Linked DNA regions of Drosophila melanogaster. The protein of the gene in region 1 interacts with the protein of each later gene in a pairwise test. Each region holds a gene or a part of one and is shown on either strand. Other genes may lie near its edges.

Region 1 (4,908 bases):
ATAAATTTCGTATTTATAATGATAATAATAATGGAATAAATGTCATGACTTTTTTAGAGTTAATAAACATATACTTAAGAAGACACTTGCTAATGTGCCAAATATCAGGTACGCAGCCCTTAACTTAACGCCACTTGAGGCAAGTTGTATCGCACCGGACCTTACCTAACGCAAACCATCGAAACAAAAAAGTGAAAAACCGGTGCAAACCGATTTCCAAGATTGCGAAATGTGAAACGTGTTAAGCGAAACAAGCCCCCCAATGAACTTTGCGCGGACTAAACATCAGCCCATATTTCAAGATTCTATTGTTTACCCCCGGTGAAAGAATTACGAGTTCCAAGAATTGAATTTAATAAACTTTAATCACGAGCCTTCAACTTATTTGTTAATTTTGCAAATTATATTTTATTGTATCGCGCCAATCGAATTTCCGCACGAAGAAGATAGTAGTGGGGGAAAGGACCCTTTTAACGAATTTGGCTTATCAACCGCAAAGAAATCAATAATTCTTATCAACCATCCGCTGATTCTTTTGGTCGCCAAGTCTCAAGTGATTCATATTTAAATGATATACGGAAATGATTAGCTTGATAAGAATCTAATTCACTGATATATGACCTCATTTTACAAATTATTTAAAGCGGGTGACTATAAATCTATTTTCGGAATGGGAGTAATATGCTCCTAACGTAATGAAAAACTCAAATCCTAATCACCTTTAAAAGTAAGTAACTTTAAAGAGTAAAAAAAAAGACATTTTCAGAGCACCTGTCACCTTTGAGGATCCTGCTATCAAATCGATACCCATTCAATTGATTAGTTTTTTTGGGGCTTGGCCGAAATTTCATTGTTGAACATGAACAATTTCATTGTTGATATGCAAAGTGCTGGGGTATGAAGTGTGTGGCATGGCACTGGTTCTTGGCTCTTGACTCTATCTCAACTCTCCTCACCTCACCACCCAACCAACCTGCGAACGGAGTTGTCTTATCAGGCCAGAGCAAACAAATTGAACTCATTTCTCTTTTTAAACAACAGCTTCGACGCAATTGTCGACACGGGTCTACGCATAGATATAGATACTCCAATAAGAACCAACTCGTCTTGGTCTTCTTGGCCCGGTCGGGCTTAATCAGTTCAGTTCGGCTGGAGGAGCACCGAATATGGTAAATGGGAAAACGCAGTCGAGATAATGCTACGCCAAGAACGAGAAGGAGAAGAAAGAAGCAGGTTAAGTTTTTCCATTCCATTTTTATCTAATTAGGCTAAGCAGGCAACGCGACAAACGCTGGACAAATATTTATTATTGTACTGTAAAAATAATCAATCACTCGATCGTTACAGCAAATGGTAATGGTATCTGTACGGCTGTATCTATATACGCCACCCAGATAACGGCATTTGAATAAGAAAAAAATAAAGAACGAGTGTCCAACCAAAAGGAAATGCAGTTCCAACTTGTCCAGAGGCACTTGAACTCAAAACTGCGGCACACCACAAGTGTTATGCTAATAAAACATATCGTGCCGATCGCCTTATCAATAAGGCAACATAATATACGCTTGTGTATTGATATAGATATACACATTAAACAAATCGAACGGTGGGTTGGTACGATATTTAAAGTGTAAATCGATCGATTTTTCTCGCACTTTGTTTGCCGTATTTATTTATTTCAATTTCAATATTATTTCTCGCCTCACCGTTCACCCCCGGCGACATTGCGAAAGATACTGGAGTTACAGGTATCCCACTTCAACTTTTGTAGAGTAAACTTTGATGCAGGTTCTGTTTACCTCCGGTCTGAAACTCAAGGCGCCTTACTTAAAAATGGTTTATACAATATCCCCCCTCTTATATGGTATACATTTCCTTTACTTTCAGTAATTTTCAGTAAATTAAGTGGTGAAAAGCCCGTTTTATAGATTGTCAAACACTATTTACTGCTGCGGGGTGGGGTAAAACCCTTTAAAAACGCTAGGCAACATAAATTCAAAAATGTTTCATTTATTAAAGCTTGTTAGAGATTGCAGATTAGGATTGTGAAATTCTACACGGCTTTGATTAATTGAATGAATCATGATTAGGGTCCAGGTGGCCTGGGGAACTCTTATCAACAAAAATTTCGGATGTCACTTGTTGTAAAATTGTTCAATCTTTTAGTCAAAAAAGGTAAGTCATTTTCGTAATTAGAAAATCAGTGAAGTTATTTATTAAATGACCCATTATTATTTTCTTTTATAAATAAAACATTTATACAATTGTATTTCTTTCCTAAATTTGTTGGTTACCAAGGTATTTAAATATTTATATACCAAAAAGATGACTGTAAGCAATTCTAAAATTTTTCAAGAAGCTTCAGACCCTTGGTCTTGGTTTTCAATCATTAAAAAATTTATTTTTGTGGTAACTACAACTTTAAATTTATTTTCTGCACATGTATATTGTTATTTTATTTTCATGTATAACAACTTGTACACAAATAATCAACCTTTCTAGATATGTGTCAATAAAATTTCTATGAATTCTTTTATATTTTTCATAGCTTAATTTAATACTCATGGGATTTACCTCAATTGTTGAGTTTTTCAGACAAACATTTCAATCTTTAAATATCAAATTCATTTCGTTCAAGTGAATAAGTTATTAGTTATCACTGTACTTTATCTGCACAATATGGGGCACTCTTTAAAAACTATAAGCGTATAGTTTTTCAATAAATTATGATGTTACTATGAGCGAAATTTGCGTCTCATTCGCAGCACGTTTCGATTCGCACAAATGCCGTCGTCAAAACGCAAAAAACTGCGGCACAAAAAGAGATCGGAAAAATCGCGACGCGAGAGCGATGAGAATGGGGATTTTTATTAGAGGGGTTCATTCGGGATCGTATTGTATCGGTCGAGTAGCGCATGGGATATCGCGGAGGACAAAATGTGTTGCCAAAGTCCGGGGAGCGCGCGCACTTGAGCTACAACCACTGAACGCTGAACTCAACTGAGGCGAGCTCGCCAAAAGTATCTTAAAGATGCGCAACAGATCGGCAACTTTAACGGCAGCGGGCTGCAACAAGTTTTTTTTTGCCAAATCCATATAAACAAAAGGCAAATAAACAAACGGCAGTGCACTGAAACAATTGCAATGTGAAGTGTCTCTGTGTTCGGGTTTTGCTGTAAGTGTGCGTGACTTTAGTTGCTCGTATCTGCTGCAGGTACTTGCACACACAGATGCACACCTGCTTGCAACATTGCAATTGCAGGAGAGGGATAAAAGAGAGCGCTTAAGCTCTCTCAAAACCGCAATGAGTTATGTTTAAACATTAATTCATTTTAGTGTAAAAAAAAACAATTAAGTTTAGTTTGAGAGCTAAAATTCTCTTGTCTCTGAAAAACTCTCGCTCTTGCTCTCTCTGCGCGCTCTCCACTCACCACTACTACTGCAAAAAGCAGCGATCGCTCACTTAGGTTCCACAAAAAGCTGACCCGTTGGGGAAAAAGAGACAACTAATCGCGCTCGCTAATTTTCACACACACTCTTGCAATATTCAAATCTGGTTGCTCGCTGTCCCTCTCTCACTTGCATGCTCCCTCGCTTTATTTAAATTTATGATTATCGCCCCCTTGTGTGTGTGCCTACTTAATCCAATTGGAGGTGGAGCCGTGACTCTCCGTCCAATTGGGAGATACGTTCGCATAGACTCTCATTCCGCCTGCATATATCGCCTCGTTAACTGTCACATTGACGCAGGTGGGGGCTTTATCTTTATTTTGGGGCCCGGACTTATCCAATTGGATTTTTGTTTTGCAAACTGGTTTCGCCAACGCCTCTTATTGGCAGCGTTATTTTTAGGTTTGCTTCGGCTATTATCTAAGTACAAATTGATTAGAGGAATGCGAATTTGTAGTAAAAGCTTTTAATTGCGAGGGAATTTGAATTTATTGCGATTTATTTCCCTTTGGCTTAATTCAGTACAATACTTTTGTATTGAAATAAATAAATTTATATATGTATCTTGCCATTCATTCTTGGTTTCATCCAGATAAGAAATTATATGTAATTATATAACTAGATAATTATACATTTTCTTTGTTTTACTACGTGCTTACTTACATTTTGCTAACAATACCTTAAAAAAAAAACTACACAAAATTATTATTTTACACATGATAAAAAATAGTTCTGTTTATATGGAGTGTATTTAGTTTGTCATCATCTGGATAAACTCAACAATGTAAATTAATCGTCAAAAATTCGAAAGAAATATTTCCCAGCTAAACGGTTATCCATTGAATGGCGAAGAGCATTCAGGTTGGACCTGCCCCGCGGAGTTTCCATTGAAGGGCATTGTTTTGGAGGGCGCCGCTGCTTCACAAATCGCATACGCACGATCTGCTGACACAATTCCGCCAGCAATTAAGTTGATTCACCTCCGCGGGCTGGAGATTTTACCTGTTGCTCAATTTGCCGGCATTTAAAAAAGCTGTCAACAGCGATCGGGAATCGGGTATCGGCGCGATCGACGACCTGGGTGCATAATTCCGGCCAACTGGAGCTGATCTTGGCCAATTGTTTACCATATGCAGTCCGGCCAGGCATTCCAAACTGTCCGCTTGAGCTTATTAGCCTGTCGTTTGCATTTCTGCGGTATTTCCACTTTGTTCAAGGCGCCGGCCTCCCAAGTGAACGGGCCCCAATTTGAATGCAAATTCCACGCATTGCGCGCTTTTGGTCATTCAAATGTTGCCGCTTCAGTGTTGCCGCAAAGTTATAGATTTAATGCAGAGGCATCCGGGATACCCTATCCGTAAGGGAAGTAAAATTTTTTGAGTCACCTGAAAGTATTAAAAATATAATAAATACAAATATACGATAACTCGTAAAACTTTCTCATTTGCTTAAAGTATT
Region 2 (3,820 bases), on another chromosome or scaffold:
TTTGCAGGACTTTGACTCCTTCAACCGAACAGCACAGTCGGTTTTATGGCTTTAAGGGTATATTAATCATCACTCTTGAACAGTTGCTACTCATTTATACGTGTCTGAACTGAATTACAATGAATACCAATTATAAAATGCACAGGAATTAAGGATATTATTTTTAGAAGCTATAGGTGGCATGCCATTTATTAGTAGCGTTAGCTGAGTATTTGATAAGTTTATTCACTAGTTTTACTTTAACAGAGGGACTTGTTTTTAACCTTTAACAAAACCTAACAAAAGCTCATTCTGTAAGTATATAAAAGTAGTCACCGCTGATAAAATATATATTTTTTTTATTTAAGTCTATATAATCTAAGTTTCAGACGATGCTTGCTCTTCGCGCTTAGCGCTAGCAAAGCTTCGAGATTATAATCTCAGCCGCTTATAATCTGCGTAAGACCGCCATCATCGTAGCCACCTCCACCGCCGCCTCCGTAGCCTCCTCCACCTCCTCCTCCGCCGTTACCATAGCCGGGTCCAAAGTTGCCCGAATATACTGGACGACGGCCACCTCCTCCACCTCCGCCGCCGTTGTAGTATCCTCCACCGCCTCCGCCTGCGTTGTATCCACCTCCTCCTCCTCGTCCTCCGTTGCCACCTGTGTAGACTCCAGGTCCTTGGCCTCCGGGTGGATTACCTAATAGTGATATTTAAATCAGTTTCTTGAGGAGTAGTAGTTACTTAATTGCGCGCTAGCTACTGCATTTTTTACGCAAGCCAGCAAATGTACTATGCGCTATAGAAATTAAAAGCTTAAAGCTAAGTGTTCGGAATTATATTATTCATAAACTTAACCAATAACAAATGTTTAGAGTATCGTTAATAATCACTTAATGACTTTCGTTGCCAAGAAATACCATAATATAATAACAAATTGATTGTTCATTCAAACTTTCGCTAATGAAAACACAAAATTTCCTTTTAAACTATGCCTGATGTGGCAGCGACGAAAATCGTTGAACAATTTTTGAATAAATGGCCCAAATTAATAGGCATTGACTTACAGTCGTAGCAACCGCCACCGATGTAAACAGCCGCCTCCGTTAGAGCCAGTGCAAAAAAAGCGATAATCGCAAATGCCGTCAAGGTTCTCATTGTGGCTGGTCTATTAGAACGTCGAACTGGTCTGGACCAGGTACGAACCGCAACAGCAGCTTATATACGATGCACTCATCGATTCCGATTCCGATACTGAATTTGAATTCGAATTCAAACCCAAACAGACCTTATCGCTGCAAAGAACTATTGCTGTGCAAACAAACCACTACGTATGTATTAAGTATTAATCTCAGGGAATTGCCCGCGGATGGGTTTCAAAAACAATCTGTAGCGCATCAGTTGGTCAGTCGTATTGCATTCAAGATACTCTACGTTACCTTTTTAACATAACAAATACACAAAATCTGTAAAATCTATAATAAGTCAGACACTTTTCATTTCTACAAAGTTGCAAAGATTTATTTTTAATGAAATGTATTTGTTTTCAAATATATTTTTTGCTTTTTCATTGTATTAAGTATCTTATTATTTAAATATAAATTGTTAGCTTTAGAACTAAAGCTTCTACATTTCACTCACGAGTCACGACTTTCGGTTCTGTAACCAGTTTTCCTTAGATGTATGGATAAAATTTAATGGTGTGCGATTCTCTGGAATCGCTTGCCATTCATGTTTACGTCTGGGAATAATTGTAAACCGACTTTTCGGGGCGTGACTGTCATAAGTTTCTTTGAAGAAGTTCAAGGAAATCAACTACGTCGACCTGATGCCACAAAACCGTGTGCGGAAAACCCCATCGAATTGCGATTTGATAGTGTTCTAGTGTGAAATTAATTTAAATATATTGTTCAAATACAAATCGAAAGCTCCAAACGCTTAGGCTTATGCAAATCGATTTTGATTCGGATCGAATCAAGTGCCGGACTATATAAGTAGCGTGAGAGTCGATACGGTCATCTATCTATCGGCTTTAATATGAAGTACCTGACGTGTGTGCTGCTCCCGTTGGCTTTAATTCCGACTCTGATCGGCGGTAAGCTGGACGGGATTGCTGCTGACGCTAATTGATACACACTGAAATTATTTCCAGCTCATCCCAGCACAGTGGTGGTGAATGGCGTCTGTCTGACTTGTAAGTTGCGATTGTTTTGCCAGCTAGGCAATTGGACAACTTAATGAATAATAATATGCACTCGAAAAGGTCCCAATCCGAATGGTGAACCCGTCTACCTGGATGGCCAGCAGTACCGCAGCTTCTCCTCATCCCCTGGCGATGGTAATGTGGTCATTTCCCGTGGAAATGACGGTAGTGGCGGTGGAGGTGGCACCATTTACCGGAGGGGTGGTAATACCATCGTCAATGGCAGATGTCAGCACTGCAACGTGGATCCCTATTAAAGGCTTAAACAATAAAGTCTGAATATTGAATTAAAATTGCGCACATATCGATCAATCCATTTCATACTTACACTTGGCTATGTACAACATCATTTAGCTAAAAGCATTGACAATCGTTCAACCCAGTCTCTCTGCAAATTCGATGAATGTGATGGTTTCGAGTGCAGAGGGCATCATCTGATGGAGGCAAAAAATGGAAAAATGAGCGTTTTATATTCAGTTTTTGTTACCACGAAGTACACGTGGAGAAACATGAAACATCCGAGTTATTTTATGCTGCGAAAAAAGCGTGAAGAATGTTATAATTGCTTTTGGTCGAAATATTCAGTCCTGAAAATCAAATTTTTCACATTTAAAATAAGAATTTTTTTTAACGATTTCCAGTACCTCATTGCGTGCACTGCGAGCTGTCTGTTTGTGAACATTGGCTTCTCTCATCCTTCTCAAAAATAAGTGATACAAAAGCGTTACATTTTCAAAAGCCTTGGTTTCAAAACAGTCTGCAAATAAGGGAAGACCCACGGATTTTGTGACGGAAAAATAGAGAAATTCGTGCTGCCAATGGCATCGATTGTTTGAACTTCAGCTAGTTGCCACATAAACTGGGCTGGGAGCTGACGTCGCTGTCTCCAGAGTATTGCACAGCATCGATAATCAAATGCGAGTAACCAACCGTGCAATTTACGCCAGTGGATGTGTTGTCAATGAAAACGCTGGCCTGATGTAAGGGTGCTTAAGGTTGCGCGTGCCACGTGGCGTATACGTAATGCTACTGCAGGAACGGCAAACAGAAGCCTCTCAAATATTTGCTTTGAAACTAACTACTCGACAAACAGTAAACACTTAGTGCATACACACACACACACACACACACACACTTCCCAAGAATATTTTGTGCAGAAGTTTCGAATAAAACTGATGCTGTGTTTTTATATACAGAATAAGAAGGGAAAAGTTTCATTCAGGCTTAGCATGCGAAAACAATTAAAATTGTAAAAGGATTACTTAACAATCATACAATTTTGATTTAAGCGTATAACTTAAGAGAATAGTATTGATTCCCGGACATCCAAGAATAAAAACCTAAGCTTTATTTGCAATTAAAAAAAAATACAATGCATTGAAATCAATGGACTGCCCTTGCGGATGTGCTAAATTCAGAAAAACGCTCGACTGGCTTAAAATTCAATGAACATTTGGGTGGCATAACCATACCAATCGTAAAGGGTTTCGATACACTTTCTCTGATTTACTTTTAATACACTTTATTGGCAGAAATGTGTCGTTTCCTATCTTTTTGGGTCACAAATTGTTTACACGCAACTTTAGAAGCCCCATGAAGCTGAGGAACTCAGTCCTAGTCCAGAACAGGGTGGTT
Region 3 (4,823 bases), on another chromosome or scaffold:
ATACTATTCTTACAATAGAAACATGTAAGCTTTAATGTTGATTAAATGAGAACGATATATAATTGAAAATTGTAATAATAACCGAATAAAAAAATCTAGTTTATCTATATCTACAAGTATATATATATATATATATGTTTATGTATGTGTGTTGTACGTTTTAGCCAAATTTTCTGTGTTTTGTAACTGAGAAAAACAAGTTAAAATAAAAACCAAGTATTTTTGAAAAAAAAATCCTAATTGTACTCGTATGCTATATGAAAATGGTAAGACCTGGTGAACCTCAGTTTTCTTTTTAGTGTCTTTGTTAAACGTTTAGTTTTGATTGTTGTCTTTGCTGTTGTTGTGACTGACCAATTTGACTGCTCTAAACTCTTGACGCCCACATTGTTCCACCTCCACTGATCTGATCTCTGAGCTCCACTCCCTCTAAACTGTCTATCTACCTATATGTCTGGCTTAGCGCACCCGTTTGGTGTCCTTTCGTTTTTAGTTGCTACTATATACCACCCTTTTTCATAGTCTTTTTCATAGTTAGCCCCCAGTATCGATACTTTTATTTGGTTTCCTTTTACCCCAAGCGCTGTAAAGTATAGTAACATGTAACTGAAGCTAAGCATTCTCCCTTTCCAGGATGAGACCCCGCAGAGTTTCTTCGACGATCACGGCCTGGGCTAAGTTGGCTCTATGCAAAAGTAACGCCAGAAAGGCATTATCTATATTGAACCCATTTAAAGTCGCCTTAATTGTATGTGTATTTAACGTAACCCAAAAGTATACCGGTTCTATTGTAATTTAACCACCCTGTGTCAGCATAAAAAACATTGTGTATAGAAGTGCTGTTAAACCTATTCCTAATTTCGCTTGGCAAATGCAATTTGCAATACATTTAATTTCACAAAAAAGCATCAATATCGGTTGCTCACACACGTTCATATTTGTAAAGATTAACTTAATGATAAGCAAAGTAAAGCGATGCGATTAATCGACGGTGTGCTCAACTCTATAGTTGTAAGTTAAAAGCCCTATAAATATATAAAAATTGCTGTATCCAAAGTAACCAATCAAAACTCTGTTTACTTTATGCATTCTTTGCTGCAAATAAAGATGGTATCGAGCGTGAGAGTTTTTATATTTCAGTACTACTCTTTTCTGTTGGGACAATAGTACGTCATGGTTATGACGCGGAATAAGCACAAGAAAGTAGGCAATGGTTTTTGAAAAGTTCGTTTTTATGAGATTTTACTAACTTAAATTATAAAATATAAGAAAATGCATTTTCTTACTGATTTTAATATTGAATGTAAAACTCATTTTTTTCAAAAAACCTACATTTCTAACCTTCAATTAAGCCTTAATTTAAAATAATGGTCGTTCTTTGGGCCAATTTCCTCTCTTAGCTTGGCCACATTTATTTTGGGGCCAAGTTGGCAGCTCGCCGACCAACAAATTGTTGATTTCATTTTTATTTGGGGAGGGGGGGTCGCCAGAGAGCATCCTGACTGCGAACGAGAGAGATAGAGAGCGACCTGGCTCTCTCCCTAACGGGAGCTCCCCAACATTTCCCCCTGTTTGTTGTTGGGCACGCACGCACACAGGAATTCGGCGAACTCAACACACTCAGCGTCGAGCGAGAGGGCGCGATTGGCCCCACGGCGTGTGCGAGCGGGACGCAGCGAGAGCGCCAGGCGGAGCAGCGGCGAAGGCAGCGATAAAGGCGCTGCGCCGCGAGAAAGTTGCAGACCCGTCCGCAGAGCGCACCATCGTCTTCAGCGGAGCACACACAGCAGCTAGGTGTGCTCTTCCGTACGTAACGGTTGCGGATTTTCACTGGATTTCCATTTTCACACAGCCAGCACACAGGAAAATTCTCACACACTCGCAGCGAAAAAGTGCATAAAACGCGTGGAAAACTCGGGGGAAATCGCGATGAAAACTTGCGAAAAACTCGCTTTAACTCGATTGCTGTGCGTGTGAAAATTTTCCATCCGGTGAAGGAAAAAAAATTCGAAAGTGCGGCTAGAAAAGAAAAACGAAGGAAAAAGCAGCAGCGCCAGCAGCAGCAGTAGCAGGCAGCATTAGTGGCAGTGTGAAAATCGAATGTGCAAAATTTTGCAGCTTCAAAAATGTATGGTACATAAAATTTCTCTCTCCAAAATCGCGAGTGTGTGTGTGCGCGTGAAAATTACGTTGTCATATGTGCCAAGTACCAAGAGTTTTCCAGGCCCCACTTTCCCATCCGAAGCCAAAGTTTTAACAAATTAACTCCTTCGTGTGATTAGCAATGAAAATGGAAAAAGACAAGGCCACACGCACTCCGTCCAGATACATATATATTCGCATATATATACCAATCAGACATATATATATATACATACATATAGATGTGGTGGCAAGGAATCAAGCCGCGCCAGCAAAAGAAAGAAAGAAAAAAATTCTCTATCTATTGCGATTTGCTCATGCGGCCCGAAAAGAGCGAAGCGCGCAGCATTGGGTGGGAAAAGTGGGTGGCAAGTCCAGAGGGGGAAAGGGGTGGGGGCGTCAGTGGGCTGGGTGGGCGCCACTACGGGTACGAAGTACGGCTGCTTTGTCTACAGTTGTAGAGTGTGTGTGTATACACAGCCTCTGAAATCTATATATCTCGCTTTTTTGGGCCCCCCATTAGCATCCATAATTTTCCGTTTTTTCTGCTTCTGCGCCTCTCCCAGCCCAAAACAAAACAATAATTTCCCTAAGAAAAGCAAAGCCGCAAAGTTTTCATCACCCAACCCCCAAATTGCCGCCCGTTCAACGCATTTGTTGCAAAAATATTGCTCGTTGTGATTTATCCTTAAACTTGGCCACTTTCTTTGAAACGCTCCGTCGTGGTGGAGTTGAGTTCGCGCGAGCGAGTGTGGTGGGTTCCGGAGTGCGCATGTCGCCAGGACATCGCCTGGTGGCCAGGATATATGGACACGGGAAACGGGTCCTGGACATTCCACGTCGTCAGGCTGGCTCCAAACTCACAGTTGCGGTGCAAATAATAGTACCGTCAAGTCCAAGTTCACAACTCATTTCTCAAGTTCGCAGTACTTCTACTTCAAGGGTTAACAACTTTTTTTTATAGAAAGTAACTGCGTATGTGGATTCCAGTTTTATAGATATTCCTTGATTCCATCTATAATCTGCTTTAAGTCATCATAACTACTATAATTTCGTGTAGGTGCTTTTCTGCGCACACAAACGATGCGTTAATATCAATATTCGATAGGATCGAATATCGAACTAAAATTTGAGGGTTTTAAACAATAGGAAACTCATATCTTGTTGTCACAATAGATAGTTATAGAATTATGAGCTTAGGACATAATTCGATGTAAAATCAATGCTAAAAACATGTCATATACACTAAATAAGGACCAAGATCCTTGTGCTTGAGGGCCATTATGCCGACCTTAACTTTGCGTATACACACAATGCGGATTTGTGCGCCTTCCGTTAGCTATCGTTTATTGTCATCAAGTTGAAAACTTCAAGTGTCGTTACCTTTGTTTCCGTCTATTATTAGGACCTGTATGATATAATATTTGACTGGATTGTCCTTGGCCATACCCGCTGGCGGTGGGCGGCCTTTGGCTGGGAGGGGGTGGTGCTGGGAAAGTGGGTGGCGGTGGTAATTGGTTCGTCGCAGAACATGTTGCATACTTGAGGGCGCCGCAGCTATGGAAATTGATAGAATCGCTTTGGGTGGGAGAAATTGAAGCAATGCAGTTTGCTCTAGCTCCCTCTCTCGCTTTCTGTGCCACTCTCTCTTTCTCCTTTTCCCTATGGTTCCCTTTCTCCTTTTCCCTGCGGTACACGCTGTTGATATCATATTTTTGCCACTTCTATTATTATATTGATGTCTACTACTTTTTTATGATGCTCCAAGAATACTGGGAACTTTTTTACCCAACTCACCACGCATGACGCGTGCCTTCTCTCTCGCGCAGCCCCATTTCTCGCTCTCTTTCTAGCTTTCTCTCTCTCTCTCTCGCATTTCCCTGTGGAAACTCCCGCTCTTGTGGATTTTATTATCGGGAAACGTTTTCCTTTCATTTTTTGGCTCTGCTGTTTTTTTCTTTTGGGGTGTGCGGCGCCCACGTATCAGCGCAGAAAAGCGGAAAGTGGAAAAGCAAAGGAACGAGCGAAGTCGAAGAAAAACATTTTCCGAGCTGCTGCTGCTGCTGCGACTGTTCGTTTTCGGTAGTAGTAAAGTGAAGACCGCCCGCCGAGTGAAGTGTGCCTACGTGTGTGTCCGCGACTGTGTGTGCAGTGCTATATACAAAATTCAATTGGAATTTATTTATTTCAAATGGCACACATAAATTCTAACAAGCAATTATCAAATTTATTTTGTTTAGTGCAGCGCCAGAAATTGTAAATAATTAACAGTTAAAAACTCACCACCAAAAGAAAGTTATAAACGAAAACGCTTAACCAAACCAAAGATGCATGAATATGAATCAAAGCAAATATGATACATAGCCAATATGTATATAGAAACTAGTAAGGATAAATAAAGTTCAAAGCGAGGAAAAACACCGATCCCGACAAGCAAATGTCCGGATAAGGGAGCCGCTACCTGACCAATGGATGAAAATGCAGCCGTCGTCGCCGTCACTTTCGCCGTCGTCACTATCGCATCGCTTTTGTCAGCAGCAACAGGAAAAGTCGGAAAAGCACCAGCAGTACCAGCAGCACCAGGAGCAGCAACAGCAGCAGAAGGAGCAGCAGGATCAGAAGGAGCAGTCCTGCCACGCCCACGCCAATCGAACGCCCTCGGTCGGTACGGCAGCGCTGGC
Region 4 (2,517 bases), on another chromosome or scaffold:
CATGTTCAAAGTGGGCATGGGCGAGAAGCCGCAGGCACCGGAGAGCCTATCCCAGGAGGGTCACGACTTCATCGATCATTGTCTGCAGCACGATCCCAAGAGGCGTTTAACGGCAGTGGAACTGTTGGAGCACAATTTCTGCAAGGTGCGTATGCCTGTGGTTAGCTCGCTGCCAAATGTTGCTAATTGATTTTCGTTTCCATGTGCAGTACGGTCGAGACGAGTGCAGCAGTGAGCAGTTGCAGATGCAGGTGCGAGGCTCTTTCCGGCGAAATGTGGCGACCAGCAGCAGCTAGGTGCAACGTGGTGTCTACTTAACTAGCTTGCGGTTTTTTTTAGGCGCACCCCTACATATGATGCATATGTACATCGGTGTGGATTTTGTTTAGTGTCTAATTTATGTGAATGTCGATTATTTGAATGCCCTCGTCTGGTTTTATGTTGGACAATATATAACCCGTATAAAATAATCAAATGCCTTTCCGTACCGTAACCCCCACAATTCATTCGATGCAAGTGAAAATTACACGTATTTTAATATATTTGCGATTCAGTTTTTAATTCATCAATCGATGATGACTATCCGTAAATGGGATAGATGGTCGACGTTTCTGGCGTGGCATTTGTGGTCTCAGCCTGCGGCGGACCAGAGAATCCCGTGCTAGTCGTACCATCGACGGGAGCACCAGTTGGCGGAGTTGGCTCCGGGGTGGCAAGACTGGAGAAAGCCGACACCCACGAGGTGCACAGCATGAAGGCCAGACAGAGGCTAAACAGCAGGTTGAAGACTGCAACGAATTGAGCCGGTTACTCGAATGGTCCACGGATTGCGTTGGCGGTTACTCCTTGTACGGTACTTACATTTCATGTTGACGGCGTTTTAGAGACTGTTGAAGTGCCCAGAACGGCCAGGGCCTTTTATGGAGAACCACTTGGCCATGGGTATCCATTGGTATTTTATTTAATTAATTTATTAAAACACTATTTATCTGGCATTGGCTTATCATTATTTATTTATTTATTTGTTATCGTATTTACCACTTGGATATTAAGAAGTGCGCAGCTCGGATTTTCATGACTGTTTCAAGCGGAAGACGACTTATCTATTCTTAGAAGTCACTGAAAAATACGTGGCCAATTTGACCGTGCGCCTTATCCAAATCCATATACGTATGGAGTATTTTCATTCACCAGCAGATCAATTGTAGGTCAGGAATGATGGTGGTCTTGGTTTGTAATGCATTTATTTCAATTTATTCGGTTCGTGATTATTTATGCATACATTAATTGCGGCTCTTGGCCATATGGAAACGAGTCAAACTTAACGACAGTACAGAACAGTATGGTAACGTAATGATTGATACACAGATCGAATAATACAGGTAAGATAGATAGTTAGTTGGATAGTACGTAGTGATAGTTCGGTTAACAGTTTAGAAGATAATCATACATATAGTACATATATAGCAACAATGAACACAGCAACTAGTTTGATATAAGTATCTGGTTGTCCTTTAACGTTTCTCATATATTTTCCATTGTAAATAACATACGTATAGTATTTATGTATATAATATATTCTTTGCAGATTATTGACAGCTTTGGTGGATCGCCATCGAAACATCTTTTTTTTTTGCTAACGGCTCGAACAGACAAACAAACACACATAGGTTATATATGTATCTATATCATTCTAAATCGTCCTGCGCCGTGGGGCATCATTTGCCTTCCTGGGATGTATATAAATTTATTGATATGTATTGTTACGTCTCAAGTCTATACGCGTATTCTATATATTCCTCTACATTCATTTCATTATTCATTTACGGGTTGTACATACATATATTATTATATATATATATATATATATATATTCATCCAAAAAGCCTTTAGTTACGGTATACCATTTGCTCTCTAAAACACGAATATATATGGAAATATATTAACAGACATTATATAATTCTTTTTTTGTAATAAGTCCTCAAACAAACAACGAAATTGCAGTAACAAGCGCAGATAGTACTTTTAGTATATGCTTTAGCTAGTATCTTTTGTAACAACTATAGAACGTATTGTATTTGAAACACAACTTTCGTAACGAAAAGTATTGCATACTTGTGGGCTTGCTTGCCATAATTCGCTGACAGTAGGGGTATAAACAAGTTCGTAAGCTCTGCTAAGTTAGTTAGTGATTGGTATAACACTCATATTTAATATAGCACAATTAACACACTTAGATAACAGCACTAACAATTTGCGCATAAAACGGCTCTAAAACATTTAATTGACTAGAGTTGCTCTAATTCAAACTACGAGGATACTTTGGTAACGGATATGTAAAGCGAATGGGTTGCGTATAGTTTTCTTATTTCTTTTTTTTTGTGTTTTTTTTTTTGTCTCAACTTGATAGTGATTGACATCAGTTTTCGATTCCGATTTCGTTATCGTTATCCATCTTATTCCTCAGATGCCCACCCCTCGTTGGGTGGCTCGCTTGGTGGTGCTTGGTCACAAATG

What was found.
Region 2: the proteins of nub (region 1) and BomBc3 interact in a two-hybrid assay, tested with the Drosophila melanogaster proteins (one large-scale study listed by BioGRID).
Region 3: the proteins of nub (region 1) and CG31140 interact in a two-hybrid assay, tested with the Drosophila melanogaster proteins (one large-scale study listed by BioGRID).
Region 4: the proteins of nub (region 1) and CG14302 interact in a two-hybrid assay, tested with the Drosophila melanogaster proteins (one large-scale study listed by BioGRID).

The regions. Positions count from the first base shown.
Region 1 is NT_033779.5:12,585,719-12,590,626, reverse strand, and holds the start of nub (nubbin), read right to left. Parts: upstream 3,003-4,908; 5' UTR 2,575-3,002; intron 1-2,574. UniProt on the Drosophila melanogaster protein: DNA-binding regulatory protein implicated in early development. Involved in neuronal cell fate decision. Repressed directly or indirectly by the BX-C homeotic proteins.
Region 2 is NT_033777.3:22,085,184-22,089,003, forward strand, and holds BomBc3 (bomanin bicipital 3), read left to right. Parts: upstream 1-1,999; 5' UTR 2,000-2,019; coding exon 2,020-2,077; intron 2,078-2,134; coding exon 2,135-2,176; intron 2,177-2,245; coding exon 2,246-2,442; 3' UTR 2,443-3,318; downstream 3,319-3,820. Other genes in the region: BomT3 (bomanin tailed 3), read right to left, coding at 420-682, 1,050-1,140.
Region 3 is NT_033777.3:23,961,418-23,966,240, forward strand, and holds the start of CG31140 (uncharacterized protein), read left to right. Parts: upstream 1-1,762; 5' UTR 1,763-1,806; exon of another isoform or gene 1,807-1,816; intron 1,817-4,382; exon of another isoform or gene 4,383-4,387; 5' UTR 4,388-4,823.
Region 4 is NT_033777.3:18,731,057-18,733,573, reverse strand, and holds CG14302 (uncharacterized protein), read right to left. Parts: upstream 894-2,517; 5' UTR 869-893; coding exon 862-868; intron 789-861; coding exon 580-788; 3' UTR 540-579; downstream 1-539. Other genes in the region: Mekk1, read left to right, coding at 1-145, 210-296.